4 linked regions of the Saccharomyces cerevisiae S288C genome follow. The gene in region 1 interacts genetically with each later gene. Each region holds a gene or a part of one and is shown in the gene's direction. Other genes may lie near its edges.

Region 1 (7,946 bases):
GCAGAACTCTTTAGCCTTCTCGGCTGCATGTTCGATATCTTTGAGGTTTGTAGAAGACATGCACTTTTCCAGATCCAGATCTACACCGAGTCTTTGAGACATTATCTGCGCGTACCTTGTCGTAAACACATACTTGTACTCATTAGCACTGAGCTCTACCAACTTCTGGACCCTTTCAATCATGGTTTTCTCTAGGGCGTCATCAACAGAATTCAGTTCGCCCTTAAGTAACAATTCAAGGTCACGGGCCTCAGGACCCAGCAGACATGCGAGATCCTTGGCAAACTGTTGCAAGTTCCACCATATAATGCTTGGCTGGTTGGCAAACGAATATCTCTTCGCTGTGTCATCATGGTTCGGGGTAAAGCTTGGTTCAAACTTGTCCAGGAAGGCAAAGGGGCCATAATCAATTGTCAGGCCCATAATGGAGGTGTTATCCGTATTCAAAACACCGTTAGCAAACCCATACGCTTGCCAATGGGCCACTGTGTTTGCATTCAAGCTAACTACATGTCTGAAAAACTCATCATATTTGCTCAATGTGGAAATGTTATCTCCGGTCATGGTACTCACCTCAGTTTCATCCTTTTCCACCTGCTCATCAATCTTCGTCTCAGTGTCAGGAAAAAAATCCCTTTTGAATATATTAAAGTCGGGTTTCCCCTCAAATTGGGTCCCCCCAGCAAACAATTCCTCAATGCAATAATCTGATAGTTGGATCAACCCTTTCAAGTCGTGCCGCCATCTGAATAGGTTGAAGTTACCCAAGCGGATCCAGCTGGGCGCAAAACGGCATACAACAGCGCACGGTTCTTGATTGCGCCTTTGCGCCTTCGTCCCCGGTAACAGAGTTAATTGCATAGCTCTTGTGGATGGAATTCCAATACTGTGCAACGCCTCGCTCATTATGAATTCACGTATGCTTGATCTTAACACAGCTTTCCCATCTGCAAACCGAGAAAATGGCGTCATACCGGCACCTTTCAACTGAAACGTTTGCCATTGTCCGCTACACTTGTCCTTAAGATCAAACAAGTTTACCACACGTCCGTCTCCCAGCTGTGCAGCAAATGAGCCGAATTGAAATCCGGAGTACACTGTACTATAGGGAAAGATACTATCGGAATAATATACTTTCTCACCGGATAGTATTTTCTCCAAGTCCTGATCCTGCACCAAATTAAACTCATCAAGTGCGTTTTGCGAAAGCAGTAATGGCTTGTAATGTGGTTTCTTAGTGGGCAAACAAAATGCAAAATGAGCCCCCTGCGAAACCATCCGAGGCGTATGGAAAAGCTTTAATCTCACGGGATCCGTTGCATTGTACTGCTGCACGACGTTTATTGCCTCTTGTATGGACGACAGGGAAGTATCTGCGGTCAACTTCTTGATGAAGTGGGACGCTGCAGAGTTTTTCAGCGCTTTGATTATTGTCCTTTTTTCCCCCATGATTGTGTTACACGCTCTATCTTCTTTCTCACACCTTCCTTCTTCTACTTCCGGAGTATAGTCTCTAGCTTATCCTTGATGGCTCTTTTTATGCAGGCAGAATAATTACAGTGACGTATTTGTGGCTTCTTTGGCACAACGTTTTGTTCCACGATCACCTCATATCACCGTTAAGTTCTTCATCGTCCAATTCCGGAGTTCCCCGTCAGCCGTGCGACCATGTGGTATTTCACCCGAATAATTAAGGGAAAACAGAAGGAGAATTACGTATCTTAAAGGAGCTAGACTCTTTGCCTCATTGAGGCTTTCTATACATCGGGTCCCCATGTATGGTCCGTTCCATAGTCGAAGCATCCTTAATTTCCTGTGACATTACAGTAGTTTCGCCGTAGAGCCTTTCACGGGAAGAATATGTTCAGTGGTTCCAGGTATGGGTTTGAGGATGTTCTTGTAAGGTGTGTAGATCCCATCTTTTTTAGGGATCACAAAGGGAAAATAACTACACAGCATGTGGTGGTACAGATGAGGTCAATGGCAGTTTTGCCTTAGTTGTAAGTAATTAACCAATCCTTGTCGTGCTTCTCATGAATGTGTATGAATTTATGTTCATCAGAATATCCCTCTTTAACCACAGTTCTTGCGTAAAGCATAGTCTGGCTTCCTTTAGAAAAAGGAAATGTGGTAATTCTAGGACCACGTTTTGGGCTTCGTCATTTCTTTTCACTCCTCCACTTTTATGACATTTGATCGCAAGTTCCTCCATACATCATGCCTAGTAATCAAAACAAATAACGCACAAGGGAGTAAAGGGAAATGGTTAGAAAAGACCGAAATCCTTTTTTTGGTCTCCGTTACGTGCTTGTTAATCAGGCTCCCTTGAAGCAGTCAATATTTCTTGGACTATAAAAGCACATTACTATTTCATCAAAAAAAGGATACATACCTACCCTCAACTCTTAATATCTACTAGCAGCAGAGCCAAACACTACCGCATAAAAGCTAAGTACGAATAACAATTAAGAAATGTCCAATCTATTAAACAAGTTTGCTGATAAGTTGCACGGCAACGATCATGATGAACGTTACGAAGACGACAATGACGACCAGACTAGACAACAGCGTCATGAAAAACATCAACAGAGGGAATTCAGGAATCAAGGATCCAAGGCCGATCCCTACGGCGAAGAAAACCAAGGGAATTTCCCTCAACGCCAGCAGCCACAGTCTAATCTAGGCGGTAACACGCAGTTTGGCGGTAACGACTTCCAGCAACAAACTACTGACTACACTGCCGGCACTGGTGGTGGCACTTATACCCAAACTTACCGCGAAACTAACACTCAAGGTCAGTTGGACGACGATGAAGACGATGACTTCTTGACTTCGGGCCAACAGCAAAAACAAGGTCGTACAAGAGGTGCTCAAAGTAACCGCTACCAATCCTCTAATATCGGCAGCGGTAGACGCGATCTGTCTGGGTCAGGAAACGATGAATATGATGATGATAGTGGGAACCAAGGCGTCTGGTAGATGCGGTGGTCGAAGCTTCTATTACATGCCTGAGGTGCGGGTCTCACCCTTGAGCAGCAAGTGAGAAATTTTACCCTAATTTCGTCTTCTTTTTTCTTTTTTCTTCATCTGGACCTATTATTGGTCATGATGCCACTTTTTACAAACTATTTCATATGTTTAATCTAGTTTATTTAGATCTACAGCTGTCAGTTTATACGTTTTTATTAATGTCAGTTTGATTTGATTAGTAGTGACCTTTTTCGTCGAGGTATGCCGTTTCACGGACCTCCAGATCCAGGTGTATAACAATAGAATTATGGGAAAACGGGGTGGGAAGGTCGTTGTCTAACTCAAACCTCCTGGAATTAGCGGGTAAAGTGTCGTTATTGTGCTGGGCAACAACTTTTTTTTACGATTTCTTTTTACCTCTCATCTAGGTTAGTGTTAGTTGTAAAAACCCGAGCAGATTGGTGCCTTTTCAAGTGCGTTCTTACAACCATACTTTTTTATTCTAGAACGTGTAAGCAATTACTTTCTCAAAAAAGCAAACGCAATAAAGATATGCTACGGATAAGTATTGACTCTATCAAGCAATTCGGTTCCTTTGTGCCAGGTTATAACAACACTAGTTACCATGCTGCCGGGAGGGCCATAAGAACATCAAGCCTGTACAGTACAATGATCTCAGCCAACCCGAGAAGGTGCCTGCATTCTTCGAAACTGCTAAATAAAGAAGGTCAAGAAGAGGGCTATAATGAACAGCTCATTTCAAAAATGTCTTCACAGAATGGATCGAATTCCAGACAGAATGAAAGTGAAGGAAAGAAGGAAGGCAAGGCTTCCTCTGTGAAGTCGTTGTTGCAACATACTCATAGTCACAGCCACACACATATGCATGACAATCCTTTATTGTCACTGAACGTACAGCAGATCAAGAAGAATCCTGGCGTAAGAATAACATGGATAGGACTTGCATCAAATGTGGGGATGGCAGTAGGAAAATTTGTAGGAGGAATCACTTTTCATTCTCAAGCATTACTTGCTGATTCCGTACATGCTCTTAGCGATTTGGTATCTGATTTTTTAACACTGTTTTCTGTCCAATATGCGTCTCGTAAACCAACTTCGGAGTACCCATATGGCTATGGTAAAGTGGAAACTGTGGGATCTTTGGCAGTATCCACAATCTTAGCAATGGCTGGTATATCTATCGGTTGGTCGTCGTTATGCGCTATTGTGGGGCCTGTCATTCCTCATGCCATTCTAGAATCGATGGCCGGTTTAATTGGTGAAACGCATTCCCATTCTCAGTCGCTAACACAACAGGCAACTAATGTAAATGCTGTATGGATAGCAGCGGGTTCTATCTTGGTTAAAGAATGGGTTTTTCAGGCAACAAAGAAAGTTGCAATCCAAACAAATTCTAATGTACTAATGGCAAACGCCTGGCATCATCGTGTTGACTCCTTGACATCGTTGGTAGCGTTGGTCGCTATCACATCTAGTTATTTTTTCAACATTCAATCCTTAGATAATTTAGGTGGGCTTGTAGTGTCAGGTTTGATCATAAAAACAGGTGGACAAGGTATCTTATCCTCACTGAAGGAGTTAGTTGACCAATCTATACCACCTACTGATCCGCGTTATCTAGAAATCGAATCTGTCATAAAAGACAGCATTGGCAGTTTGAAAACAGACTTAGATCTCAAACAGTCGTTACATGTTAGAGACCTTACTATATTAGCTTCCGGTCCTAATCTTCGTGCCACCACAACTTTGGAAGTGCCAGTATTACATTCAGGTCAGGAAGTTGGGATAAGATTTTTGGAAAACGCTATTTCGACTATAAGAGAGGATTTACGTATGAAGGTGCCAAACGTGGGGAAGGTGGACGTCGAGTTTGTTGATGTAACCTCTGACTCTAAAGGTGATTTGGAGCACTCTCATGACACTAAATCAACAAATCATACTCATACTCATTCTGATTCTGCCGATACTCACACCCATAAACATTAGGGAATTCTCAATGATGAATTTTTTCAAAAGTTAAGAGCAAAAGTACAGCCTTTCACATTTCAACAATTTACTGAGCTTAATATATATATGTATATATATATATGTTGAACAAGGAAGAATGCCTTGTGTTGTTCCTTTGTATAAAGTAATGTATTCTATATAATCAATCACAAATATATATGCATGTTCATTTCTGACCGACAATCCAATCGTTCAAGCCGTGTTTATTTCTAGCAATTTCAAAAGCGTAAAATTGTAGTCTCACGACAAAACAAGTAGTAAATTGACCATACTCGGCTGAAGCGTCTGTCCTCAACAAAGTACCAAAGTTATAGTCTTCGATTTTTTTCTCAAAAATTGTGAAGAACTTTCTCCATCTTTCCTTGGCTTCTTTTGTTTTTAATTCTTCCTCCGTAAACTTTTTGACCCTTTCAACATCTTTGTATTCTGGGAATCTCTCCATAAAATTCTCGTATATTTCGTCATCAAACTTAGTCAAACGTAACTTGGAACCGGGAACACTTGTTAATAGTTTCCAATATGTTTCCGCTTGTTCAACAGCAACAACAGCGAATTGTTTCTCGATATCTTCCAAGTTATCAGCGGTTTCTGCATTAAAAGTAGACATTGTTATATGATTGTTTCGTCGTGGTTCTTCTAGTCCATCTAACCAGATGTAGCTTTAACGGGTGAAAATTATCATTACTTCTGCTAGTCGAAGAATTTATGGATGTTCATCACTCCCTAGTACAACCTCTTACCCGGACAATTTCTTCAACAATGTTCATTCATCTTTAGTTTAATGAGGGATTTATAAGGTGAAAGCCAGTAGTAAAAGTGTATTTAACCCCTTTAAATTATCGCAAACTGTGCCTAGCAGTTCAGGAGTTATTTTTGGTATACTTTTGGAGCACGATTCATAACCTCATGTAAGAAATAATAATCAATCTTCGTGTATTTTTAAAATAATAATCCTTAACAACGACCTCTTACATAAATTTGTAGTTCAACATCGACAATTGTTAGCATCAAAAAGGATCCCTTAAGTTTAAGTTTACATAATTAATCTGCGTACCGTACATATATGAAAAGAACCAATATTAACTACTCTGTATGAAAAATGAATTAACCTAGAAAACAAAAAAGGAAGGAGAGCGTCATATGCTTGTCCTAAATTCTATCAACGTAGTAAACTCCATTTGAGGAGTGAATTAAAGAAAAAAGATGGAGTGAAACAAACGAAGTTAGCGAAGATAAAACACTAGCCAGTAGGCTTTCAATCTTCTTCATCGTCAGTATCAACTGGTTTTGGTGTACCTTTTGGCGATGACAACCACTCAATGTAACGTAGACGACGACGTTCGGCTTGCAGCTTCTTTTCATTTCTTGTCAATCTCTTCTTTCTTTGCTTGACCTTGATGTTAGCTGGAGAATCATCGTCATCTACAGATGGCTTGGCCAAGTTGGAGGCCTTTAGACCAACGGCATCAGCATTACCACCATCTTCGAATTTGGATTGGTCAACTTGTGCAGAGCCCTTTTGAACCATTTTACCGTTCTCCACAATCCATTGTTCAGGACATAAAGCACCAACAAATTCGTTATTATGCGAAATCATAACGACACCACCACTCCAGTCACGAATAGCAACGGCCAAAGCACCAAGAGAGTCTCTGTCCAAATAGTTGGTAGGTTCATCCAAAACAAGTAAATGAGGGTTGTTCCACATAGCACCGGCAATAACGACTTTAACTAATTGACCACCAGATAAAGAACCTAATGGAGTATGGTTAGCAATTTCAGAATCAAGACCAACGTCTTCAAAATGTTTGGTGATAACTGAAGGAATTAATTCACGGTAACCCAACCCTTCTCTGGAGGCTTCGTGATCGTCGAATTTTTGAACCAATTTTTCAAAGCCATGCTCGACCAAAACATCTTTTGGAACCCAGGAGTTGTATTTTGGTTTCCAGTATTTCCATTTGACCTCATATTGGAAAGATTTTTTCAACTTTTGTCTACCTACAATAGCTTCAATGGCTCTCTTACCTCTACCGTCATCAATGTCGATTTCCTTTGTCATCATTTCCTTTTCATCTTCGGATATTTTTCTGGATTCCTTCAATAAGACTTCACGGTCGTCACCGAATTGATAACGCCATTGCAAATATTGGTTTGCCGTCTTTTCCTTATGTTCATTGACGTGTTGCAATGCATGCTGAGCAATATAACCAATACGTAAATTTGGATGTTTTTCCACTTTACCTTCATTTGGAACCAATTCACCAGTTAATAGCTTGATCAAAGTGGATTTACCAGCACCGTTAGGACCTAAACAAGCCACACGAGAAGACAGAGACAATGAACAGGAGACATGGCTTAAGGAAGGCTTTTGGGCACCTGGATAAGAGAAAGTTACATCAGTCATTTTAGCGACGGCTCTAGTGTTAGACTTAACACCTGTTAAAATACCTGGGGGTGGGAAACGCATTTGAGCATTAGAATCTGTTAAGGTATAGTAAGATTTAGCTTCAGGTTTCTGCTCAACAAATGCTGCCAAGTTACCTTTGTAGTAAGCCAATTTCTTGTTTTCATAATGGATGATGTCAGTACAGACTGTATCTAAGAAACCAGAGTCATGCGAAACAATCAATGAAGTAATATCAGTATGTTCCAGTAAGTATTCTTCTAACCATTTAACGTTCGAAACATCTAAATGATTGGTAGGTTCATCCAGCAATAAAATATCAGCTTTTTGTAACATAGCTCTTGCCAATTCCAACTTCATTTTCCAACCACCAGATAAAGATCCAACAGTTTGTGCTCTTCTCTCTTCATCAAAACCGACAGATTCTAAAGCGGCTGCAATTTCCTCACGAGAAGTAGATTGCAGTTCTTCATCTAAAGCAATGAAGGAAACCAAGTCTAAATCACCTTCTTCACCTTGCAATTTATGTTCGACGAAACAG
Region 2 (8,159 bases), on another chromosome or scaffold:
AATAACCTCAGCAACTCTTTGAATGCGATCTAAACTCGAATTTTCTATGTCTAATAACAAATCAATAACTCTATAAGTCACTAGCCCCCAGTTTTCCATAGCACCAGCAGAAAACTCATGAACTGCCACCATATCCATCTTTGGCAATGGATATTCTATGTTGAAGGTGTCCTCAAAGAATCTCAAGGTCCTAGCAGCTAAATTGGCTGCAAACTGACCAAATTTTTCGTCCCCTGGGGTAGAATAAACTCTTACTGGAATACGGAAATTATTGCTTTCCACGTATCTCAGGTCAGCTACAATAAATGCTACTAAGTACGTAGACATCTTTGGAGTCGTGTTAAAAGTTGTATATTTCTTACCCTCTTTGATTGTTTCATTCCTGACATCCATGTTGGACAAATGAGTCAGAAACGATTCAGAGACCAAAGTTACTGCAAAAGTCGCCTTCAAATTTGGTTCGTCAAAACAAGGAAAGGCTCTTCTAGCATCTGTGGCTTCCATCTGAGTAGTAGCCATGTACTTCGTCTCCCCTGTGACTTTATCCGTATACTTAGCCCTGTAAAATCCCGCCATCTGATCATTTAGAATACCGGAAAAGATAATTTCTAACTTCGCAGAAGGTCCTAGGTTTTCAAAAGTTCCATTAGGAAAGACAAGAGTAGCTTTTTGTTGGTTTTCGTTTTTGTTAACTTCAATGGCATTGACACCCTCAATACGTGCAGAATGGAAATCTATTTCTAAGTAATTTATTTGCACAGAGTTTATCGAATGATCATTAATCTGCAGGTCAATTTTTAATGACCCTTCAAACGTAAAAGCACGGAAATTAGGTTCTAGTGTAATGTCATAATGCAATGGGGTAACGTTGTTTGGCAGTACTTCACGGGACATGGTATTAGCTGAGAGGGCAATTTGGCTTGCTTGAACAGGAACCCTCAAAGAAAAATCACGAATTGAATAAGCTTCCCTGAAGATAATTCTAAATGATTAGCTAAGATTACTCATAAAGTCAAAAGTTTGATCGCTAACAAAAGGGAAAAAAACGGAAAAAAAATAAAAAAATGTGTCAAACTCCCACAGCCAAGTCCAAGAGTACGAAAAAAAACTTTCACAACGAGTTCAAAAAATGTGGGATGAAGACTCCCGTTTTTCACCGCCTAGAAAACAGCGTTTGCTGAGAAAAAAAATAAATCATCGAGAAGAAGTATGTCATCATAGGATGTTCCCATTGTAAGGTGATGTGTAACATACTCGAACAAAGAATGTATAGAGCTGAATATTTCTCCTTTAAATTTCAAAGAAAATGAGAAGGAAAATCTCAAACAGAAACTTCGTTCTTTTTCTCAAGTAAGCAAAAGCTTATTGAGACAAAGCGGAATAACTACGATATTAATAACGTTGATGAAGCTCGAACAAAGTTAGCGTCGGTTATGCTTGCCTATATAAAGATATATTTGCCTTACATTTTCGTTGAACGTAGAATGATTTTTGCTTTTAATAAATTTTTTGTTGTTCTTTCAGTGCTTCTTCAACTTTGATACGAAAGCAAGTGCATTAGTACAACAAGAACTGGCCACAACTATACTATACTCATTTTTTCTTGCCCGTGTTTTAAATGTTTTCATCCACAGCATTTGATGGGATGATTGGAAGTGAGACGTTCGAGAAAATCCATATTTTGAGTCAAGAATTCAGATAATATACTGAGATGATTAGGTATGGCTGGGTTCTACAAAAACACAAATATCCGGCTAGCAATGATCACTGAGCAAATTAAAGCGTTAACTCACTCATTATTGTAGCTTATGCGTTTCTCCTCCTCTCTTTTTTTCCTCGAACCGGAGTGGAAGATCCAATAACGTAATATTACTGATGTTGTTATTAAAGCTGGCAAAAATAACATGAGGCGTAAAACCGCACTGCGGTAAGATGAGGGTATAAGGTGGAGATCAGGCGAACAAGCTGTTCTAAATCATACATATGTACAATGAGAACGTGTAACGATCCAATGAGCGTTTCATGATGCCATTGTTTAATCAGAGTGATGAAAAAGAAATATTTGCGACCTTTTTTCGTTACATTGATCGTGAAATTTTAATCAAAGATAATATAAGGACGTGAGATATTTATCTTTTTACTTGAAATTAACAATAGAATTGCGCTAAGCGGAATAAGAGCTTTCGTAAACCTTTCTATTTGCACCATTGCGTCAACGTATAAAATGGTATGACCTTTACACAAACGCATGCTTATAATCTTATGTTTTTCATAGGGTGTAATTTGGTTGATGACGTAGTCTAAATTTGATGCTATCTGCAATTGAGGTACATATAAGAGGTCAATTTCGGGACCAACCCTTTTAATCGAAAAAAACGTAATTCACTAGGGCAAGGGAGAACTTAGCAGCTAATATCGTAAACCTTTCATACTAAAAAAATGCACTTACCATCAACAAAAAACTCAGGACCAATTTCCAAGCTTTTCTAGGTGATTGCCTATAACACAAAAAGATTCGCTCATACATGAGATTTTTACATGTAATAGCAATTTGTTCCGATCAGTTGAAGGTCATCAACGCACGGCAGGTACATCCACACCTATCACAAAGCCCTTCAATAATTCACCTACGTAAAGTTATACCGAAACATGCAAAATCCATGAAAAATTCTGTATGATAACGATCATATCCTTTTGTATTGGTGGTACGATGCTCAAAGATAGTTATTGTTGCACCTGAGGCAAAAGCGGAAATGAAAAATCCAGATGGGGCCAAAAGCAGAAGTATTGTGTACAACAATTGCTTCAGCAGTTTACCAAACCGTTTCCCAGCAATCATCAAAAGTTGCTTTAGCCACATTTCCGCAAGATATCTTTGTGGCTCAACGAAGAGGGCTATTCCAAATGCAATACAATACTAGCCGCTAGTGATCCATGCTTATAGGCAATTTGATTGATAACTGGCCGTTCTATTAAGGAGTCAATGCTAACCACATATAATGCATATAGGATTTGGCCTCTGCTGACCGTAATACTAGACAAGGAATATAAAACAACAACGTAACCCAGCATAAAAACGATATAAATAAAAAAAGAAACCAGATCATAAAGTTTGAGGGCACATCCCTCATGGTTTCAAAATCTCGTACATTGACTCAAACCTCGAGATCTTGTTTAAACGAACATAAGAACAGCGGTACCAAGTGACACATTGCGTACTGTGTAGTATGCGCCGTATATAACTTTTTTTTTCTGAAGGTACTTTGAATTACAATCTATTTTTTACAGTTCCTATGGCAGGGGTTGAAGATATTTGGGTCTGAACCATAGCAGGATTAGTGTTATAGTAGGTATGTGAATAGAAGCTAACAAAATGAGATGAACCTCATACAAAGTCGTAGAGAAAACTGCTAACAGAAGAGCTGCGCCTTGAAATCGTATCTCTAAGCTTATAATAAATTGAAAGGAAAAAATACGTGGTAAATGCAAGCGACCAAAAGGCTACGGCCCAACGCTAACCCGCCGATAGGTGCATAATCTAATTTACCTCCACCAGCAGGAGCCCTTTTTCTAAGTAATAAGCAAACCAGATAACTTACATCTTGCTGTAGGAAACAAAAGCCGGAATAATGGTTCACTCATATTCTTCGTGTGAAACACAGAAGAAATCCAATATTTGCTTCAGTATTTATCTCTAAAAATTGGTCCTACATTGGAAACCATAAACCAATTATAACCGGTGTACGAATTGTAAGCTAGTTCTGGAAATGTCATGTTGCGCAGGTAAAAGTGGAGCTGAATTGTATATCTGTTTTGATCATTATTATCCCTCTGGGTGAGTGGAAATATCAATAAAATGCAATGGCACATTTAATATCCTTCTCTTAATTCCGTGATTTATAACATCTTGATGCCAGAAACACCTTTCGGATCCGGCAATAAAGCGGAGATTAGCACGCTTTTCGCCGGTCCTACGGATTTAGTGTTGGCTATTGTTGAGATTAGTAATACGCAGAGAATTTTTCTACCGGTGAAGCGACCATCTCAGATTATTAGGTCAAGCAATAACACTTGTTATTAGATGCGTTACGTTCACCTGGACCCTATATAAAGGCATATTTGCCTTACATTTGGTGTATGGTATCACCTTGTATACTAAGAACATATATATGCAGATATAACAACAGGATATGGTTGCAGAATTTCAAATAGCGAGTGCACAGTCATCGGCATTGACATCTACTGAAGAAGAGCATTGTTCAATAAACTCAGACAAAGCCGCAAAACTGGATCTGGAATTGACCAGTGAACGAAAAAATGACGGCAAACAATCGCATGAAGTGACCTTCAACGAGGACATCGCGGACCCAGAAGATATAGCACGGCATATGAGCACCGCCCGCCGGTATTATATTTCCTCGTTAATTACATTCACATCGATGGTAATTACGATGATCTCGTCCAGCTGGACGCTTCCTTCAACGCACATAATCGAACACTTTCATATTTCGCACGAAGTCAGCACTCTGGGAATTACGCTTTATGTGTTTGGGCTCGGTATAGGACCTTTATTTCTGTCTCCACTAAGTGAACTATATGGACGAAGGATCACATTTTTATACGCCCTTACGCTCAGTATCATATGGCAGTGTTTGACCATTTGGTCCAAGACCATTACGGGTGTCATGTTTGGCAGATTTCTATCCGGGTTTTTTGGTTCAGCCTTTCTAAGTGTGGCTGGCGGCGCCATTGCCGATATATTCGACAAAGACCAAATTGGTATTCCTATGGCAATATACACTACATCGGCCTTTTTGGGGCCCTCTTTAGGACCAATCATTGGTGGAGCCTTATACCATCAAAGTTATAAATGGACATTTATCACACTTCTCATCACTTCTGGATGTTGTCTCGTTATGATCATCTTTACCATACCTGAAACCTACAAACCAATGCTGTTAATACGTAAAGCTAAGAGATTGAGGAAAGAGAAAAATGATCAACGGTATTATGCTGTCCTGGAAGTCACCCGCGAACAGACTTCCTTACTTTCCGCAATCTTTCTCTCAACCAAAAGACCCTTTGGCCTGTTACTTCGAGACCGAATGATGGGTGTGCTTTGCTTCTATACTGGATTGGAACTTGCCATAATATATTTATATTTCGTAGCGTTTCCTTATGTGTTCAAGAAACTTTACAACTTTGGGCCCATGGAGATTGCATGCTCCTATATCGGTATTATGGTCGGCATGATACTCTCGGCTCCTACTTGCTTGTTATTCCAAAAAACGTTTGAGTGGAGAGTCAAAAGAAATAATGGCGTCAAGACTCCCGAAATGAGATTCGAGCCTCTGTTCTACGGCGCCTTTTTGACCCCAGTTGGGCTCTTCATTTTTGCATTCACCTGCTACAAGCATGTCCATTGGATTGCACCAATTATAGGCAGTGCAATTTTCGGTTCAGGTGTTTATTTCGTCTTTACCGGTGTTTTTGCGTATACAGTGGATGCCTATAGAAGATATGCAGCTTCTGGAATGGCTTGTAACACATTTGTGAGATGCATAATGGCCGGTGTCTTCCCTCTTTTCGGACTCCAGATGTACAAGTCAATGGGAGTGAATTGGGCCGGCTTTCTCTTGGCAATGGTGACCGTAGCGATGATTCCTGTCCCATTTCTGTTTACCAAATACGGTGCCCGACTGAGAGCCAAGTCGCCGTATGCATGGGATGATTGATTTTTTTGCATATTTTTTCCTTTGGATGTTGCATAATCTTTTCCCGCTTACGTCATTGGTGATAGATTGTTTCGGATCTTCAAAAGGCAACACGCATAGGCCAAAGAAAAAAGAAATTTTGCATTTTTTCATTTTTGCATATTCTCGCATGTTTTCTTTCTTTTTCTCTAGTTTTCGAATGTTTTTGGCTGCAATGTATATTGTATATAAACCATAAAGGTGCAAAATGCCAGATGTACGCGGCCAATCTTAATTTTCTAGTAAAAGTAGCAGCTAAATCTGAAACTCTCTAGCTTGTAATAAACGAAGGATGACTGTACAAATTCCAAAATTATTATTTTTACACGGCTTCTTGCAAAACGGTAAAGTTTTCTCCGAAAAATCATCTGGTATTAGAAAATTATTGAAGAAGGCTAATGTCCAATGTGACTATATTGATGCACCAGTCCTTTTAGAAAAGAAGGACTTGCCATTTGAAATGGATGATGAAAAATGGCAAGCCACCCTAGATGCGGATGTTAACAGAGCCTGGTTCTATCACAGCGAAATCTCTCACGAATTGGATATCTCAGAAGGTTTGAAGTCTGTTGTTGATCACATCAAGGCCAATGGCCCATACGACGGCATTGTCGGTTTCTCTCAAGGTGCCGCATTGTCCTCTATCATCACCAACAAGATCTCAGAGTTAGTTCCAGACCATCCACAATTCAAGGTAAGTGTAGTCATTTCCGGCTATTCCTTCACCGAGCCAGACCCAGAACATCCTGGAGAATTGAGAATAACCGAAAAATTCAGAGACTCATTTGCGGTAAAACCAGACATGAAGACCAAGATGATCTTCATCTATGGTGCTTCTGACCAAGCCGTCCCATCCGTCAGATCCAAGTACCTGTACGATATTTATTTGAAGGCGCAAAATGGTAATAAGGAAAAGGTGTTGGCTTACGAACACCCTGGTGGACATATGGTTCCAAACAAGAAGGACATTATCAGACCAATTGTTGAACAAATAACCTCTTCCTTACAAGAAGCTTCTGAATAAATCGTAGGTTGTTGCTTACCTGCTTTCTAGCTTTTTACTATCACACGCAGGGTGTGTGGAGTGAAATGCTGATCGAGTATGTATATATACATATAAGTACTTTGTATAGAATGAACCACAAGTTTGTAGCATCCTTTCTCTTCTCTTCCATCCTGCGTGCTGCTAACCCCGCCCGGCGCGAAAAATCCACCCGGGGTGCTTTAGCGTGGCTTACGAAGACCTTTTTAAACATACTTATACTCTTTCTCGAAGGAAGAAAATAATGCAGAAGAGAAACAGCAGAAAAAAAAGAAATCATATTAAATTTCAGAATCAGTCTCCTTTTGCTTCTAGTCATTTAACCATCAAACGCGTTTAACCGTTTAGAAAACCCTCTTCAACAACTATTTGTTTTGATACTAATATTAGCACATCTCTATTGCCATTTAACCACTAATTTTCCGTATAGCGTTTATGTTTGATGACGTCCCAAGAATATGAACCTATTCAATGGAGCGATGAATCCCAAACAAATAATGATAGTGTCAACGATGCGTATGCCGACGTGAATACCACTCATGAGTCGCGTCGAAGAACAACTTTGCAGCCAAACTCAACATCCCAGAGCATGATCGGAACATTGAGAAAATATGCTAGGTTCATCGGTCCTGGTTTGATGGTATCTGTATCGTACATGGATCCTGGTAACTATAGTACAGCTGTAGCAGCGGGTTCTGCTCATCGGTACAAGCTTTTATTTTCTGTCTTAGTTTCTAATTTCATGGCTGCTTTTTGGCAGTACCTCTGCGCCAGATTGGGTGCTGTCACTGGCCTAGATCTGGCACAAAATTGTAAGAAACATTTGCCCTTTGGACTTAACATTACTCTTTATATTCTGGCGGAGATGGCAATTATTGCCACAGATCTGGCAGAAGTGGTAGGAACCGCTATTTCTTTGAATATCCTTTTCCATATACCTCTCGCCCTAGGTGTGATACTTACTGTGGTAGACGTTTTAATTGTTCTGCTAGCTTACAAACCTAACGGTTCCATGAAGGGTATCAGAATATTTGAAGCTTTTGTTTCTTTATTGGTGGTTCTTACCGTAGTTTGCTTTACTGTTGAACTGTTTTATGCCAAACTGGGACCTGCCAAAGAAATATTTTCTGGGTTCTTACCCAGTAAAGCCGTTTTTGAAGGTGATGGGTTATACTTAAGTCTGGCAATTCTGGGCGCCACGGTAATGCCTCATTCATTATATTTGGGGTCAGGTGTGGTTCAACCAAGATTAAGAGAGTATGATATCAAAAACGGACATTACTTGCCAGACGCGAATGATATGGATAACAATCACGATAATTACAGGCCATCCTATGAGGCCATCAGTGAAACTCTGCACTTTA
Region 3 (6,936 bases), on another chromosome or scaffold:
ACGTAATTTGGTGGCCTAATATGCCTGGTGTGCTGGATAAGATATTATGTTAATGAAATATTTGTACGTACATCCGTTTGTGCGTATGTATATGTGTGTGTAAAATGTACATTGTCCAAGCTTTCCACAACTCCTATTATCGCTAGTGTTGGCAGGATTATTTGTTTGAAAATAGCATATATCTCGTTATGTGAAACTTTGCCAAACAATATTCCTTACAACATCCGTGCATACTCTAAACCCAATCACTAATTTTCAATTTTTAAAAACTTTATACTCTGTACTGCGGCAATTAAGGCTTTCGCGTCGTTGAGCGCGCAACACTACCGGGGGTTCCTTACCGTGAGCCTGCGCCTCTGTAGGAGAATGTAGAGGTTCCCGTTGAGGGAACTCCAGCCATGGGTTGACGGGAGTTCCCGTTTGGCCTGATTGCTCTTGCGCAGTTGACATCTAGCCAGAAACAGTAGTAGTGGGAGTTGATATTACCAATATTTACAGGTAACCTATATTGATTAACTAAATTATAGGCGTTTAAATTTTTGGGTGGTCAACAAAAGAGGCGAGCAACAATTTGAATTGAAACGTATGTCGCGTGCCCATTAGGAAATGAGAGAATATTGAGGACAACGAGGAGCTTCGCAGTGTAGGAATTGAGAAAGAAGCGACCATTTGAACAATGCTGAGGTTAATAAGAGGCCCACGATAAAGGCGTTATATTAATCAACGTTGAACATCTTCCCAGAAAAGTACATGCGAATAAATCAGGACCGTCGAAAGACGTACGGAACATCATTGGCAAATATACATCGGGATCTGTTGGATATGCTTGTCGTGATGAAATACTGTTCTCGTTGTCGGCTTGATAAATTTTCTCCCATTTAAAACTCTTTGAACCAAAATTGTGTACTAACATCAATTTGTATATAAACCATGAGTGTATTTCACCTTGTGGTTTTTCACAGCTTTTTAATTTAGAAGAACAATGAAGGTTGAAGTTGATTCCTTTTCCGGCGCTAAGATCTACCCAGGTAGAGGTACTTTATTTGTCCGTGGTGACTCCAAAATTTTCAGATTCCAAAACTCCAAATCTGCTTCTTTGTTCAAACAAAGAAAGAACCCAAGAAGAATCGCTTGGACCGTCTTGTTCAGAAAGCATCACAAGAAGGGTATCACCGAAGAAGTTGCTAAGAAGAGATCTAGAAAGACCGTTAAGGCGCAAAGACCAATCACTGGTGCTTCTTTGGACTTGATCAAGGAAAGAAGATCTTTGAAGCCAGAAGTTAGAAAAGCTAACAGAGAAGAAAAATTGAAAGCCAACAAGGAAAAGAAGAGAGCTGAAAAGGCTGCTAGAAAGGCTGAAAAGGCTAAGTCCGCTGGTGTCCAAGGTTCCAAGGTTTCCAAGCAACAAGCTAAGGGTGCTTTCCAAAAGGTTGCCGCCACTTCCCGTTAAGATAATTAACTTTTGTTAGTTTTTTATTAATAATATATCATTACAAGAAAAATGAAATAAAAAAATAAAAACGTGATCCGTACTTATTTTTGTGTTAAGTATCAAATAATATAATATATAAAAGACCGTGATACAATAGAAATCTGCGTTACGTTGAAAACGTCATAAAGGTATCTTTGGGATGAGCAGTTGTTATTGTTCATGATCGTTACCCGGCTTCAAGTGGATTTTCACGAAGCCTATGGGCTTGACATTTACATGATATCACATCTTTAAGAACAAGGGAAAACCAAAGTTAAAAAGTAGCATAAATTCCTCTTAGATCGCTGCAAGGAGATTAGATCTTCCCTTTCTTTTTTGAAATTTTCTTTTTTGGTCTAGAGTTGGGGTGATGATGGTACCCAGGATTAGTGCTTCACCAGTTTTCAAGAGGATATTTCTTCGATGGGGATTTGTAACTTTACCCATACAGAAAACCGTATCCCATACACTGCGCAGGGACTTTAGTGCCCCTTGTAGGAGTATGGTAAAATGCCTTCTCCTACGACCTGGGATAAGTGTGCACTCAGCACAAGACAGAAAATTTTACAGTACAGAGGAAAAAAGTAGTCAGTTTGATGAAAATAAAAGCAAAAGTAACAATGGGAAGAAAAATGAGCCACACGGTATTAAAGGATTAATGGCTAAGTATGGTTATTCTGCACTGATCGTATATATCCTCTTAACTTGTGTTGATTTGCCATTATGTTTTCTGGGAGTCCACTCACTAGGTGAAGAGAAGATTAAGATCTATCTGAACAGAGGTAAGCAATTGATTGGGATGGGTGAGCCTGACGAAAGCAAAGTCATTCAAGATGTTAGAAGGAAACAGGCTCATCGCGAAGCAGTGCAAGCAGAGAATGCTGACAAGGTGGAGGACGCATCGAGGAAAACTTTCAATGAGAGATGGCAAGAGATGAAGGACAGCACGTTGTTGGCCGAATTGCTAATTGCGTATGGCATACACAAGAGTTTGATCATCGTTAGAGTACCCCTGACGGCAGTGCTAACGCCATCCTTCGTCAAGCTTCTGCAGAGGTTTGGCATCGACTTGATGAAGAAGCAGAAAAAGGTATTCCAAACGATGGCCTCTGGTGCCAAAATAAGATACAAAGGGAACAACCCTAGCGATTTCATCAAGAATGAGGGCACAGCGCTCGACATTACAAAGCGCAAACCAAGAACCAAAGGCCAGAAATGGTTTGATGGCCTAATGTGAAAGAATATTAGCGTAGGCTTAGCATGTATATAGAGTTTACATTTCTTTTCTTTTTTCTACGTAACCACGTTGTTTACGTACTAGTAACAGAACATTTGGCCACGTGAACAGGTCATAGAAGCTTCTACCGTACTCATTTTACATAAGCCCGGTTGCTAGTGCTATTGCTCGCGATCCTTCTAAGAGGGATCGTTAATCCTGCTAGCTGTACCCCGGCCGAGCCACCCAATGAGCACTGAGGAGGGACCTCCACGTGCCAAACGACACTCAAACGGCAACAACAGATCGTATTGTGCCGCCTGAAGTCGCATTAATTCTCAACGGGAAGCTCATCCCTCAACGAAAATCCTAGTGCGCCTTTCACATATGTTCCAGAAGATTCGCTTAGTCGGCCAGCTAAAGCGGTTCAGCTTTTGAGCTAAAAATACTTGGAAAAAATCTGGCCGTGACCATAGGTTACCGCGGAATAGAGGAGAAGTTTTCATCTCTTTTTTTCTTAATGTAGGGCACACGACTCGGGTGTATTTGCTACCGTGTTTATTACCGTCATTCATCGCCCCATCTCATCGCTTTTGCGCACCGGGTTCAGATCATTCAATTTTCTTACTTTTTTATTATGGGGTTCCTCCCTGAGTGTAATTTAACGTGTGCTTTCTTATTGCATTCGTTTACATTCCCTATTGCTCATTGCCCTTCTTTCAGTTGGGCATCTTTTTTTTTCACAATTAGGCCGCCCTTTTTTCCCAAATTGGCACTTGTTTGTACGATCTTTAGCTAGAACTTGGAGACCTGAAACGTGGTGATTCTTATATTTAAAGGAATACCGATCTTTTCCGTTTCAACACCCCAATTGTGAGAATTTTATTTCTTGCATTTCGGAAAATTTAGATACATTCACATCCATACTTGGACACATATATATATACAATATAATCATTGACACAGGCCATCGCCATTGAGTAAACTGTCTTTGAACTGTCTAAAGAACTTAGAACTATAGTGTTGTCCCAAGAAGTTAAAAATTGAACACTTGTGAGAATTATAAAACAGAGTAAGCAAAGAAAGAATAGAGAAACAATACTCCGCTACCGATTCTCCTTTTTTTCCTTATAAAAAAAGCTCGAGAATAATTACTTTATTCTTATCCCTCCACTCCTTTCAGGTATTCTTTACCGATTTGCATATCAATCATATAATGAGCACCGCATTCAACGATTACTGCACTGTTTGTGATCGTCTCATTCCAACATCTCCACAGAAAACGAACATTAATACCAGGAAGATCCAAAGGGACAATGAAACCAAGAGCAGTTTACAATCAAATAAGTTATATTGCTCCGAAGATTGTAAGCTGAAGGATTCGAACCCTCTTAATGAGAAATTATTATCCCACTTGCATAAAAAATCAAAAACTTCTCATTCGCATAATCTCACTCCACCGCTTTCATATTCTAAAAATTTAACTGCATCAAACCTCTTCGAGCCGACTACCTCACTATCTTCATCTCCGACATCTTCAACTATCCCCTTTGACGAGTTGGAGAAGCTAGAGTCCTTATTAATTTCACCATTGCTGCTACCTCAGGATGGTATAGTCAATCCTAAGCAGGAGTCTAATCCTTCTCGTGTTGACGAATATGATGAAAATGAACATTATTTGAACTTAGCCGACTCTCTTAGACTCGATTCTAGTTACCAATTGCATTCAAAGGCACATTTGGGTTACGAAAACAACTTGCCACGATCAAACGATCTAATTGATGATCATTTGATCTCAGATCAGATCATTGAGAATAACTACAACCTATGGTTTAGACTATCCTCCAGTTAAACGGCTTCACTTGCTTCGTATCTTCTTCGACTTGCCTTTAACCTACTCATGATTCATGCTTATTTTTTCTTTTTCGATTTCCTTTTCTAGTCATCCTAAAAAAAAAAAACCTACACATATACATATATACATAGTTCTCTACACATCCTTTTGATAAAGAAAATATGTACGTACATCTGCATTAAAAAAAAAAAACAAAACCCTCAATATTTGGGGAAAGAATTCTATAATGTAAACTGTATCACGCATACTTTTTGCTGTCTTCGTCTTCATACATATAATATTTTTAGTTTAAGGTGAAAGGATAATTAAAATATCAATTTCTAATATAACTACATACCACGGAACGCATTTTTGCTAGCTCTTCTTCTATTTTCGAATCTGGGCTTCGACCTACCATTGTCCTTCTTATTACCATTTTCGTCAATACCTTCTTCATCCGATGAATTATCATGACGCCTGGATTTATAATTTCCGTCTTTTTTGCTTTTTCTTTGAGGAATAAAAGTAAGTTCTGCTTCACCGCGTTGGTTACGACGTAAAATGGATTCATTTGATTTCTTTCCATTTTCCACCTCAAGCAATTCGCCTACTTGTTCGCCAAATGTAACGTGAGCACTTTCGTCTCTTTGCGTACTCGTGGAAGTGCCGGCTTTCATTTCGTTCATAAAACGTTCGCTTTGCTCCTTTTCCTTCTTTCTGCGTTCAATTAGTGCCTTTTGCTTTTCCATCTTTCTCAAATCTTTTTCACTTAATTCTTCCTTATTTGACTTTTGGTTCGTTTCATCATCAGATTCTTCTTCATCAGACTCTTCATCCTCGTAGTCATAGTGACCTCTGCCATCCTTCATTGCAATTCTTTCTTCGTCGGACTCTTCGGCAGCAGTTAGCGCCCTAATACGTTTAGCAGCACCTTCTTCGGTTTCTTTGATGGATTTTACTGGATTCAATTGTTTGAAATCATAGTCATCTTCATCGACTTGAAATTCTTCATCCTCAAACATTTCTTTGAAACGGTCATCCGTAAGAACCTTTCCTGCAACTTTATCACCACGTTTTTGAGATAGTTTATCAACCAATGTTTTATTGACTTTAATTTTAGGTTTTTGAACAGCCCCTGAACTTCTGATTCTGGATTCTCTTTCTTTCTCAATTCTACGTCTAATTTCTCTTTCTCTTTCATCTTTGTAGGCATCTGGATTAGCAATTAATGAAACCTTATCGTAAAGTTCAGTGTTAATAAAGAAACCATGCATGTATGCTCTTAATACTCTGGATCCCACCAAGTGCGTTAAATTCAATTTTTTAACGTCGTCTCTAGTAATGAACCTGTAGTTAGAGTAAACAGTGTCACTTGGTTTTTCTTCTAATTCTTCTGTGATAGAATCCAAGAATGAGCACCAGCGTGGAGATGGTCCTAAACTTGGAATATAATATGTATGCATGGGAATACTTTCGTTAGCGGTGAAAAACATACCTGTACCTGGTACATGCTCAATGTCGTTAATATCAACACTAGGCTCCATAGAAGCGTATGCCTTACCATCTAGTCTATCCCATATTTTTGCAATTCTCTTGTCACATGTAACAATTTTATTTTCCGTGCCGACGTTATCCAACCAAATAATTTTCTTAATGTCAAACCCATAACCTTGGTCTTTAATAATGGAAGGTTCAGAAGTACGCAAGTCATAAATGTATGAATAACCGTTCGACGTACCACATGCAAAAGTTAACCCGTCATTACGGAAACTGGTTGTGGTGACTTGGAATGGTCTGTTGTCAATATTGTTCTCTAAATATAGCTTTGAAACACGGGAACGCGACCTTGGATCCCAGAATTCCACTACATTTGTTTCCGTGCCTGCCGCTAACAACCCATTTACTTCATTGATAGAAACATGGTTCACGCCTTCAGTATCCAACTTGAATGGGTTTAAAAATCTCCCCTTTTCCAAGTTCAACCTGTATAACTCATTACCGCTCGCACCAACATATAAATCACAGTTTACCTTATTGTAAACTAAACTTCTCCCAAATTTAGGAATTCTTGTGGTGTAATGTAGACCACCTTTGTTTTGGAATTGAATACTTCTATCATTTTGTAAATGTACACTTTTAGTCCAATCGTCAGAGAGAATAGTGAAATCCACGTTTTCAGCATCTGTGTGTCTATCGAACTTCAGTGACAAATTAGCAAAATCGTAGACATGGATCTGAGGTTTGTATGTACCGGTAGCCATGCAATATTGCCCATCTCTACTCACTTTAATCTTATTGGAGGCTTCGCTAAATTCAAAATCTTGAATCAGTTCTACTCTATTTTGATATTCTAAATCATTCTTTAATTGCCTTTTGCGCTTTTTCGCAATCCAGTCTGGAAGTGATCTTGAAACG
Region 4 (8,126 bases), on another chromosome or scaffold:
TCTTCTAGAGACTCAACATTGATTAATTGGCCGCCACCACTTGTTCCATTACTACTCCCGGTATCTGAATCAAGGATTTCATTATTATTACTTGCATCACCATTTGGAGTTAATACAGTAGTATTGTCAGGCAGCTGCGGAATGATGTTACCATTTCCATCATCAATATAACTTCCACCGCCAAGAATTTTAGAGTACATCATTCTTGTTTCGTTTAAGACTTCTTCGGAGTAGTATTGCCATTCTTCGGTTTGTAAAATTACTTGAATATCGGGAGATATTAGTTCCACTTTGTACAATTTAGAAAATTTGACCACTTCTTCGGCAATCAAGACAATATGGCCCATATATCCCAAATTCATTTTCCTTAGCTCATAAAATTTATATGAATCCTGGTAGCCCCTTAATATGAAGTCTGTAGTTATTTTGAAATCAAAATTTGGGTCTCTAATAACGGGAGAAAATCGGGAAACATCCGTTCCTTTTTCATCTGATATGACGATATCAGTCATAAATTGATAGGAGCTCTTTAAGTTAAACAGAGACAAAACAAGGAAGGAATTATAGGAAAAATCCATTCTTCCATTGAAGATTTGCTGAATTATGTCGAATATAACATTATGCCAAAAATTGTTCCAAGGATGTGTTAAGAATAGTTCCATTATTTTGGAAACAATTCGCGTATCATATAGTTTGATTTTGAATAGGTCCCCGACCGTGGGGTCGGTCCTAAGTTTTATGTTTTGCTTCATATTGATGTATGGAATTTCGAAGCTCTCGTCTATTTCGTCGCCATAGTCACTTTCATCATCATTATCATTATTGTCGTTATCTATTTTACCGTTGTTATTTTTTAGGTCGTGATCAGTGTCACGTGTTGGAGAGTGCTTCGTTTTAAGTTGCTCCTTTTCTTCGATACTCAGATCGTTTAATGCATCTTGTAAATGATGGGATAACTGGCTCCTTACTTTATCTCTTCTTCTGGCTATTCTTTCTGCCCTTTTGGAATTCATTAATCCCATATTAGAGCAATGCAGTAACTCGGCGATTAATTCCACCACTTTGAATCTTTCAAATCCTAAAGGTTTAAATTTTTCGTGCAACTGATTTTCATGTAATGGGATGTTGGCGTCATTTTCAATATCTAGAATGATTTGGAAAAAATCGGACAAATGGTTTGAAAATTTCCGAAGTAGATAGCCTAAATATATTGGATCTCTATTTGAAGGTGGATGAGTCTTTATAGTAGTGGTTAAAAGATTAACTTGATCGTAGTCTGAATTGTTTTTCCTTATCAGCTCAATGACAATCGAAACTGTGGTATTTAATGCGGCACCTCTTTGGTTGATCATGATATCGACTAGCTTTGCAATGGATTCGGGAGATGCTAGCTGTCTCGTCAAGGAGTTTGGACCAATGGAAATATCATCCAAGGGTGCATTAGCAGAAATGGCAATCAGAGCCTTTAAGAAATCACCCACGCATGCTTGGATGTCAGCTGGGGACTCTTTGTTATTTAGAAAGCTTAAGCATTTGCTGATCAAGTTTTGATCATATACTAATTCAATTATTCCCGTGGGTGATTCAATCTTATCTGTGGATATTATTTTCAAGAAAAAATCCATCAATAGGGAAATATCAACATGCTTTAACATATCATCAACAAAGCTTCTCTCCGTTCGAATAAAATTTAAATATTGATCCTGCCTGGTTAACAACAGATTTTGGTTAATCTTTAAGAATATGGGTACCAAGGGAGAGTTTTCAGAATTGAAATTTGGCTGGTTGATGATAGACCAAATCTTGTTTAAGTATGATTGGTTTTTAACTAATGACTCGCTAATCAACCATATGTCTAAGGAAAAGATTTCAGATATTATGGTGGCCTTTGTCAAATAAGCAGATTCATCGTCCTCATTCGCATCGTCGTCGTCGTCATTGTTGTTGATATCATCGTTACCAAACGAGGAGCTTCCGCGTTTTCGTCTCTTCTTGTTATTGCTGTTATTATCGTCCTCTTTCTCCTCTTCTTGCTCCGTATCAGATTCCACATAAACGTCCTCTTGTGAGCTATCATCAAGCTGTTGCTGTTCTTGATAATCTATCAGGTTATTCAAATCCACTGTGGTGGCGGTTTTAATCTTCGAGATACATTCCATCAGTTGGTCGACCAGATATTCCATATTATTCACTTTCTTATTAGTTTTCTTATCAAAGAAAAATCCAAAGCAAATGAAGTCAAGTAGCGTCTTGTTTTGTCTCGATAATTCGTTCAGTAGCTCTGTCTCTACAAGCATTCTTTCAATAAAAGAGTTATCCAAATTCTTTGTGGTGACCATCATGGGAGCAGTAGCATTGCTGATATCCTCCTCATCTAAATCAGTTTTAGAAGTTGACCCAGAAGAAAAAGATGTAGTGGAAGATTCGCTAGAGTTCATGCTCCGTTCCTCTTCCTCTTTCTCATACCGTTCTTGCTGATCATCCTTCTCAAATCGACTCTTCTGATCTCCACGTGCCGTTTTCACTTCATCACCATGACTATACTCCTCCGGAATAGAATCTAGGGAGTCACTTGTACCTCGTTCCTGAACGTTGTTGAAAATAGCGGGAATGGCTTTACCAACGCTTGGGTTAATCCTTTCCAGTTCGTGTAGCACATGAAAATATTCATCTAGGATCTTATTAATATTAGAGTGATTAAGATTCTGTCCAAATGGCCAAAACGACATCTTTACTCTGGCTTGTTGTTTTCGTCTTTTTTTTCTTTTCTTTTGTAAAAACTGCTGCTCCAAAAATCAATAGAATGGGAACGGCAGAGACTATAGTCTAGGGAAGTAACGCTTGTGTCTTAATCGTGTTGAAATAAAATCAAAATGAAATAAAATCAAAATAATAAAAAAAGAGGAGGAAAAAAGGGGATAGTCACTCAAACCCACTATCTAGCTTTAGTCTCTCAGTCTTTTAACCGCTACTTGGAGAAAAAATACTGAATCCAATGGTCAAATAAGGCCTTTCTTCTAGTTGCTTTGGAGCGTATGATACCACGATACTGTTGGTTTTGGTTCTAATTGGCCACTTAAAATTATTTTTCTTTCTTTTTTTCTAGAGGAAGGGATAACCCTACTAAGACCTATTCTATAATTACCAGCCCTATAGTTGTCTTTCATTTTTTAGATAAATGCCCTCTTTAAAAATTAAATTAACCCTACTCATTTTGTTGTCATTTCGGCCCTTTTAAGCCACAATACAGGTATCATTTAACAGGAATTACATAATAGTACTTTAGAAGAGACTTGTATGGCATCGAGGCTTCCTTTTTGACTATTGGAAGATAGCATTTTTTTGGGTGTTGCTACTATCATATTTCTGTTACTGATTGACCTTTTCTTAACTAAGAAAAAGGTGGTTAGTTCTTTACTAAAAATCATGAAGGCCGTTTTCAAAGTAACGACTGCTTTGCTGGCTTGCGTGTTTATTGCAAGGTATCTGGTCTGTCAGCAAAATGGTCTGGGAAGCTTTGCCACAGATTTACAGCCCATTTGCCGGCATACTGAATTTTCAGTTGGCTCACTATTCGATTCTAAATTGGTTGAAGGTTCAGCGGTTTCTGACTATTTAGTTGGAAAGTACTCACAATCGATAAAACCACTGATTGAAAGATACCCCAACTCATCCTTGAAGAGAATTATGGGATATTTTTACCGCTTTTGGTACAATATTTTCTCTTTTCTAAGGCTAAATGAGCTCTGCTGTTCGCTACATTCCAAGTTGGGACCTTTATTAAATCATCTAAGGATTGCCTGGTACTATTTAAAGCCATATACAGACAATGTGAAGAATGTACTAGAGAATCCATTTAACTCCTCTACGGATTGGATGAAATACGGCTCCTTTAGCGCTGATGGCACGCTCACCAAACCCATTTTTGAGACAGACTCGGAAACAGAGGATTATGAGGATGATGAGAATGAAAATGAGGATGAGGATGAAGATGAGGATGAGGATGATGTCGGAATTGAGGATGAAAATAAAGAATACGAGTTCGATGGAGTACAGGATGGCCACGGGAACTCACAACTCGTCACTGCTGCTATTTTGCAGGATTTGTCAAAGATTATCATTGGTTCCAATAGCCATGCAGAATTGGAAACTTACGAGGCAGAATCATTAAAAATGGAATATGAAGCATGGATTAAGGCTATAGATTCGAAAATACACAGTGCGATGGCACTTTTGGATTCAGAGATACAGTCTGTGTTCGAGGCCGAGGTGCAAAATAAATCTATAGAAATCACTAGGAATCTTGATGACCTTAACACTACCGTTAATGAGCAATTAGTGTTTCTAGATTCAAAAATCAAAGATATTAATTGTACCTCTAAATTCGATCCTGTGCAAAATAAAATAAAGTATTTTGATGAATCGGGTCAAGTTGAACTGGAAGCTTACATTACCAAATCATCTATCACATCGATACTGAAGAATTATAAAATACATTTGTTAGACTTTGAAAAATCACTGTTTCATTCATTAGATTCTTTTCTTACCGAAATGGCTAAACTGGCAGAATCGATTCGTCTTGAAAACGTCGAAGTGTACGAAGAGTGGGGCGATGTAATGATAAGTCAATGGTCGCAAAGAATGGCATATATGGACGTCAGAGGTCTCCATTTGGAAGATCAATACGATCCTGCCTATATAGAAGAGAATCATTCCAACTGGCTCCGTTTCATGGAATTGAAAAAGAAAGTTATTTCTGAGAGGAACCGTCTGGTAAAACATGATCTGGATATGACTTTGATACTGGAATGGATTACTAAACTAAAAGCTGATTTCCAGAACACAAAAAATAATATTCAAGATACCTTTCTGCAACGAATGAATACTGCGGATACTTTATTCAAAAACCGTGAACTAAAGGAACAACTAGAGGAAGAATTTGTACGGCAAGAACATTGATCAATATATAGGTATGTATATGTACATATATACAAACATTTAATAAAAACAATATTGTATGATAACCAAGTTAAAGACCGGAGGTTGTTTCAAATAGCTTGACGTGCGGCAGATCTACGACTCTGTTGGCCTTGTACGCTTCAAGAGATCTGTTGGTCAATTCTTCAACCTCCTTATCAGTCAGTTGGCCCTCAGTAGCCTTATTTTCTTTCTGTCCCCCATTTTCAAAGCCTATATTGGATTCATCGCTCATTAAAAGCATAGATAACTCCTGGACTAAGTCCTTATTAGTGACATTAACACCCGCTTTGTTTGCCTTCAAAAAAGAACCTTCATTTAACGCCAATTTTTTCAGGTTATTGAATTTTCCCATCTGGATAACCATTCTTTCCAAATTTCGCTTATTGGCCGCTCTGGTCAATATAACATGTTCAATGGTGTTATCACAACACAACCTATATACTATAACCGGTGATTCTTGGCCAATACGGTGACACCTGTCCATGGCTTGTAAATCCACCTGTGGATTCCAATCACTATCAAACAAGACAACTGTATCTGCCCCGACTAGATTAATACCCAGTCCTGCCGCCCTTGTGGACAATAGGAAAATGTTATGCTTATCTTTCGAGCTATTAAACTTCTCGAGTTGATCCTTTCTTGTTTCATTGTTTACTGAACCATCAATTCGAAATGTCGCGAACGAATTTAAATCACACCAATCTTCGATCAAATCGAGCATGTTAACAAACTGAGAATAAATAAGCACTTTGTGCCCCTCAGATATTAATGGGGGGATTAATTTTTGTAAGATTTGTAATTTCCCAGACGTCTTTAAAAGAGTTTCCAAAGTCAAGTCTTCTGGGTGTAAATATGGGAAATAAAACAAAAAAGTTGAGTCAATGATTTGTCTCAATTGCATCATCATATTTTGCAATTTCTTATTTGAAATTTCCATTTGCAGGTTCTTCTTATATAGTTTGTCCATTTGCAACAAGGTTGGATTGATTTTATTGTCTGTATTTGAAGTTTCATTACCAGATAGTTTATAATTGATGAAATCTCGTATGGACCGATTAGAAACGTGGCCGATGTATTCATCGTTCAATGTGAAAAAATCCTTGATTAATTCTTTGAACATGGTTTTTTTCAACTTTCCATTCAATCCAGCCTTATAGAATTTTTCCTGTGCAGACGTCATCGGACAATTTATGATATATTCTCTCTTTGGCGGCAGAATATTAGCCAAAACAACTTTTTTCAATCTTCTCAAAAGGAATGGTTTCAGAATTGTGTGTAAATTGGAAATCAAATTTTTCTGTAGTTCATCGTTGATTAACTTATTCAATGCTTCAGAGTTGGAACCGGAGCCTAAATTTAAGCTGTCGAAGTCAAACCATTTATTGAATATCTCGAAATCGGCAAAGATATCGGGCATTATGAAATTCAAAAGTGACCATAATTCAGCTAGGTTATTTTGTAAAGGCGTCCCTGTTAGTAGCAGTCTATTGGAAGTATTGATTTTTTTTAACTCTTTAATCAATCTACAGTTTATATTTTTCAGACGGTGGCCTTCATCAACAATTAAAAATTTCCAATTTTGACTCATGATTAAGTCGGTATCTCTTAAAATAATTTCATATGATGTGATGACGATCCCCGTGCCGCCGTGTTGTTTAAAGAAATTTTTCAACTTGGCAGAACGTTCCTTATAACCATTGGTCCCATAATATTTTAGAACTGGTAGATCAGGAGCGAATTTTGCAAATTCGTTCATCCAATTATCTAGGGTGCTTAATGGTGCAGTCACTAGAAAAGGACCCTTTGTGTCCATTTCATATATGAACGCCAAAAGAGCAATACTTTGAACAGTCTTACCAAGACCCATTTCATCGGCAAGAATTCCGTTCAGGCCATTTTCATAAAGAGTGATCAGCCAGTTAAGACCTTCTAGTTGGTAAGGTTTTAAAATACAGTTTTTCAATAGGCGAGGTTGCTTTATTGCTGCATCGTCTGGTGCGCCGTTTTGGGTGGTTGTATCTTCGTTCTTTTTCTGTTTTTTGAAGAAATCTGTTATTGATTTTTTTTTTGTTTTACGTTTTTTTGAAGAATGTTCTTCATCATCAGAGTTGCTGTTATCTTTTGTATTAGCGTTAGCCACTTCATTAGATCGATGTAGTAAAGTATCGGCGATTATACTGGAATATACCTGACTCTGCCTCACAAACTCGTTTAGTTTCTTAAGTTTTAAAGAAACCGTCTTGGTATCCATCTCGGAGAGCTCATCATCCAAGGATTTTTGCTCTGATTTCGTGTCTTTTGCCAATTTATCCACCACTTGGGCTTGAACAGCTTCTGTATCGGAATCGTCCTCTGAGTCCAGCTGAATATCTTCGTCTGAATGCACATCATCTTGTAACCATATGGGGGCAGTGTCATTGTCGCCTTTGCCATGTTTATTGTCCTCTGAATCCAAATCTGAATCTGAATCTGAAATGTCAGCCGTTAGGTCATTGACTTCCTTCTCCCGGTAATTGACGCCATTGCTCATGTTTCTCGTCCTTGCAGCCACCCTGGCCCCAACAGCATCCTCAACAACAGTCATCAGCGCCGCGTTTGAGCATCTGCTCATCTCATCGCCAAATTTGATACTTCCTTAATCCGTTACTCTTTTCTATGATAATTTAATTACGGCGTTCTCTTTGTCACCCGCTTGATGTAAAAAAGTTGGAAAAAATAAGTTTCATCAACATTGAATTAGTTCGTGAGGTTTATAGAGAGAAGGGTAGAGCAGAGAAGCAAAGAGTAGATAGAAGGCCAGGATAATGAGCGACACTGAAAAGGATAAGGATGTCCCTATGGTAGACTCGCACGAAGCGACCGAGGAGCCACCCACCACAAGCACCAACACGCCATCTTTCCCTCACTTAGCACAGGAACAGGCGAAGGAGGAATCTGCCACATTGGGAGCAGAAGTAGCTCATAAGAAAATCAATTACGAGCAAGAAGCACAGAAACTGGAGGAGAAGGCCCTTAGGTTCCTGGCAAAGCAAACTCACCCGGTGATTATTCCGTCGTTTGCCTCTTGGTTTGATATTTCGAAGATCCACGAGATCGAAAAAAGATCCAATCCCGACTTTTTCAACGATTCATCAAGGTTCAAGACA

The links.
Region 2: mutations in MMT2 (region 1) and YHK8 together harm fitness more than expected from each alone (negative genetic interaction), as found in Saccharomyces cerevisiae (one large-scale study listed by BioGRID).
Region 3: mutations in MMT2 (region 1) and ECL1 together harm fitness more than expected from each alone (negative genetic interaction), as found in Saccharomyces cerevisiae (one large-scale study listed by BioGRID).
Region 4: mutations in MMT2 (region 1) and OSW7 together harm fitness more than expected from each alone (negative genetic interaction), as found in Saccharomyces cerevisiae (one large-scale study listed by BioGRID).

Annotation. Positions count from the first base shown.
Region 1 is NC_001148.4:123,665-131,610, reverse strand, and holds MMT2 (Mmt2p), read left to right. Parts: upstream 1-3,522; coding exon 3,523-4,977; downstream 4,978-7,946. Other genes in the region: FMP40 (Fmp40p), read right to left, coding at 1-1,449; GRE1 (Gre1p), read left to right, coding at 2,473-2,979; ribosome-associated Tef1p biogenesis chaperone CHP1, read right to left, coding at 5,165-5,605; NEW1 (New1p), read right to left, coding at 6,254-7,946. UniProt on the Saccharomyces cerevisiae protein: Mitochondrial metal transporter involved in mitochondrial iron accumulation.
Region 2 is NC_001140.6:200,417-208,575, forward strand, and holds YHK8 (Yhk8p), read left to right. Parts: upstream 1-4,190; coding exon 4,191-5,735; downstream 5,736-8,159. Other genes in the region: AAP1 (arginine/alanine aminopeptidase), read right to left, coding at 1-894; FSH1 (putative serine hydrolase), read left to right, coding at 6,046-6,777; divalent metal ion transporter SMF2, read left to right, coding at 7,238-8,159. UniProt on the Saccharomyces cerevisiae protein: Probable drug/proton antiporter.
Region 3 is NC_001139.9:781,826-788,761, reverse strand, and holds ECL1 (Ecl1p), read left to right. Parts: upstream 1-3,903; coding exon 3,904-4,539; downstream 4,540-6,936. Other genes in the region: 60S ribosomal protein eL24 RPL24B, read left to right, coding at 983-1,450; NAT2 (Nat2p), read left to right, coding at 1,842-2,708; YGR146C-A (uncharacterized protein), read left to right, coding at 3,325-3,486; ribosome biosynthesis protein ENP2, read right to left, coding at 4,872-6,936. UniProt on the Saccharomyces cerevisiae protein: Involved in chronological cell aging.
Region 4 is NC_001138.5:228,845-236,970, reverse strand, and holds OSW7 (Osw7p), read left to right. Parts: upstream 1-3,426; coding exon 3,427-4,959; downstream 4,960-8,126. Other genes in the region: SAP155 (Sap155p), read right to left, coding at 1-2,729; IRC5 (putative ATPase), read right to left, coding at 5,030-7,591; RSC8 (Rsc8p), read left to right, coding at 7,785-8,126. UniProt on the Saccharomyces cerevisiae protein: Involved in spore wall assembly.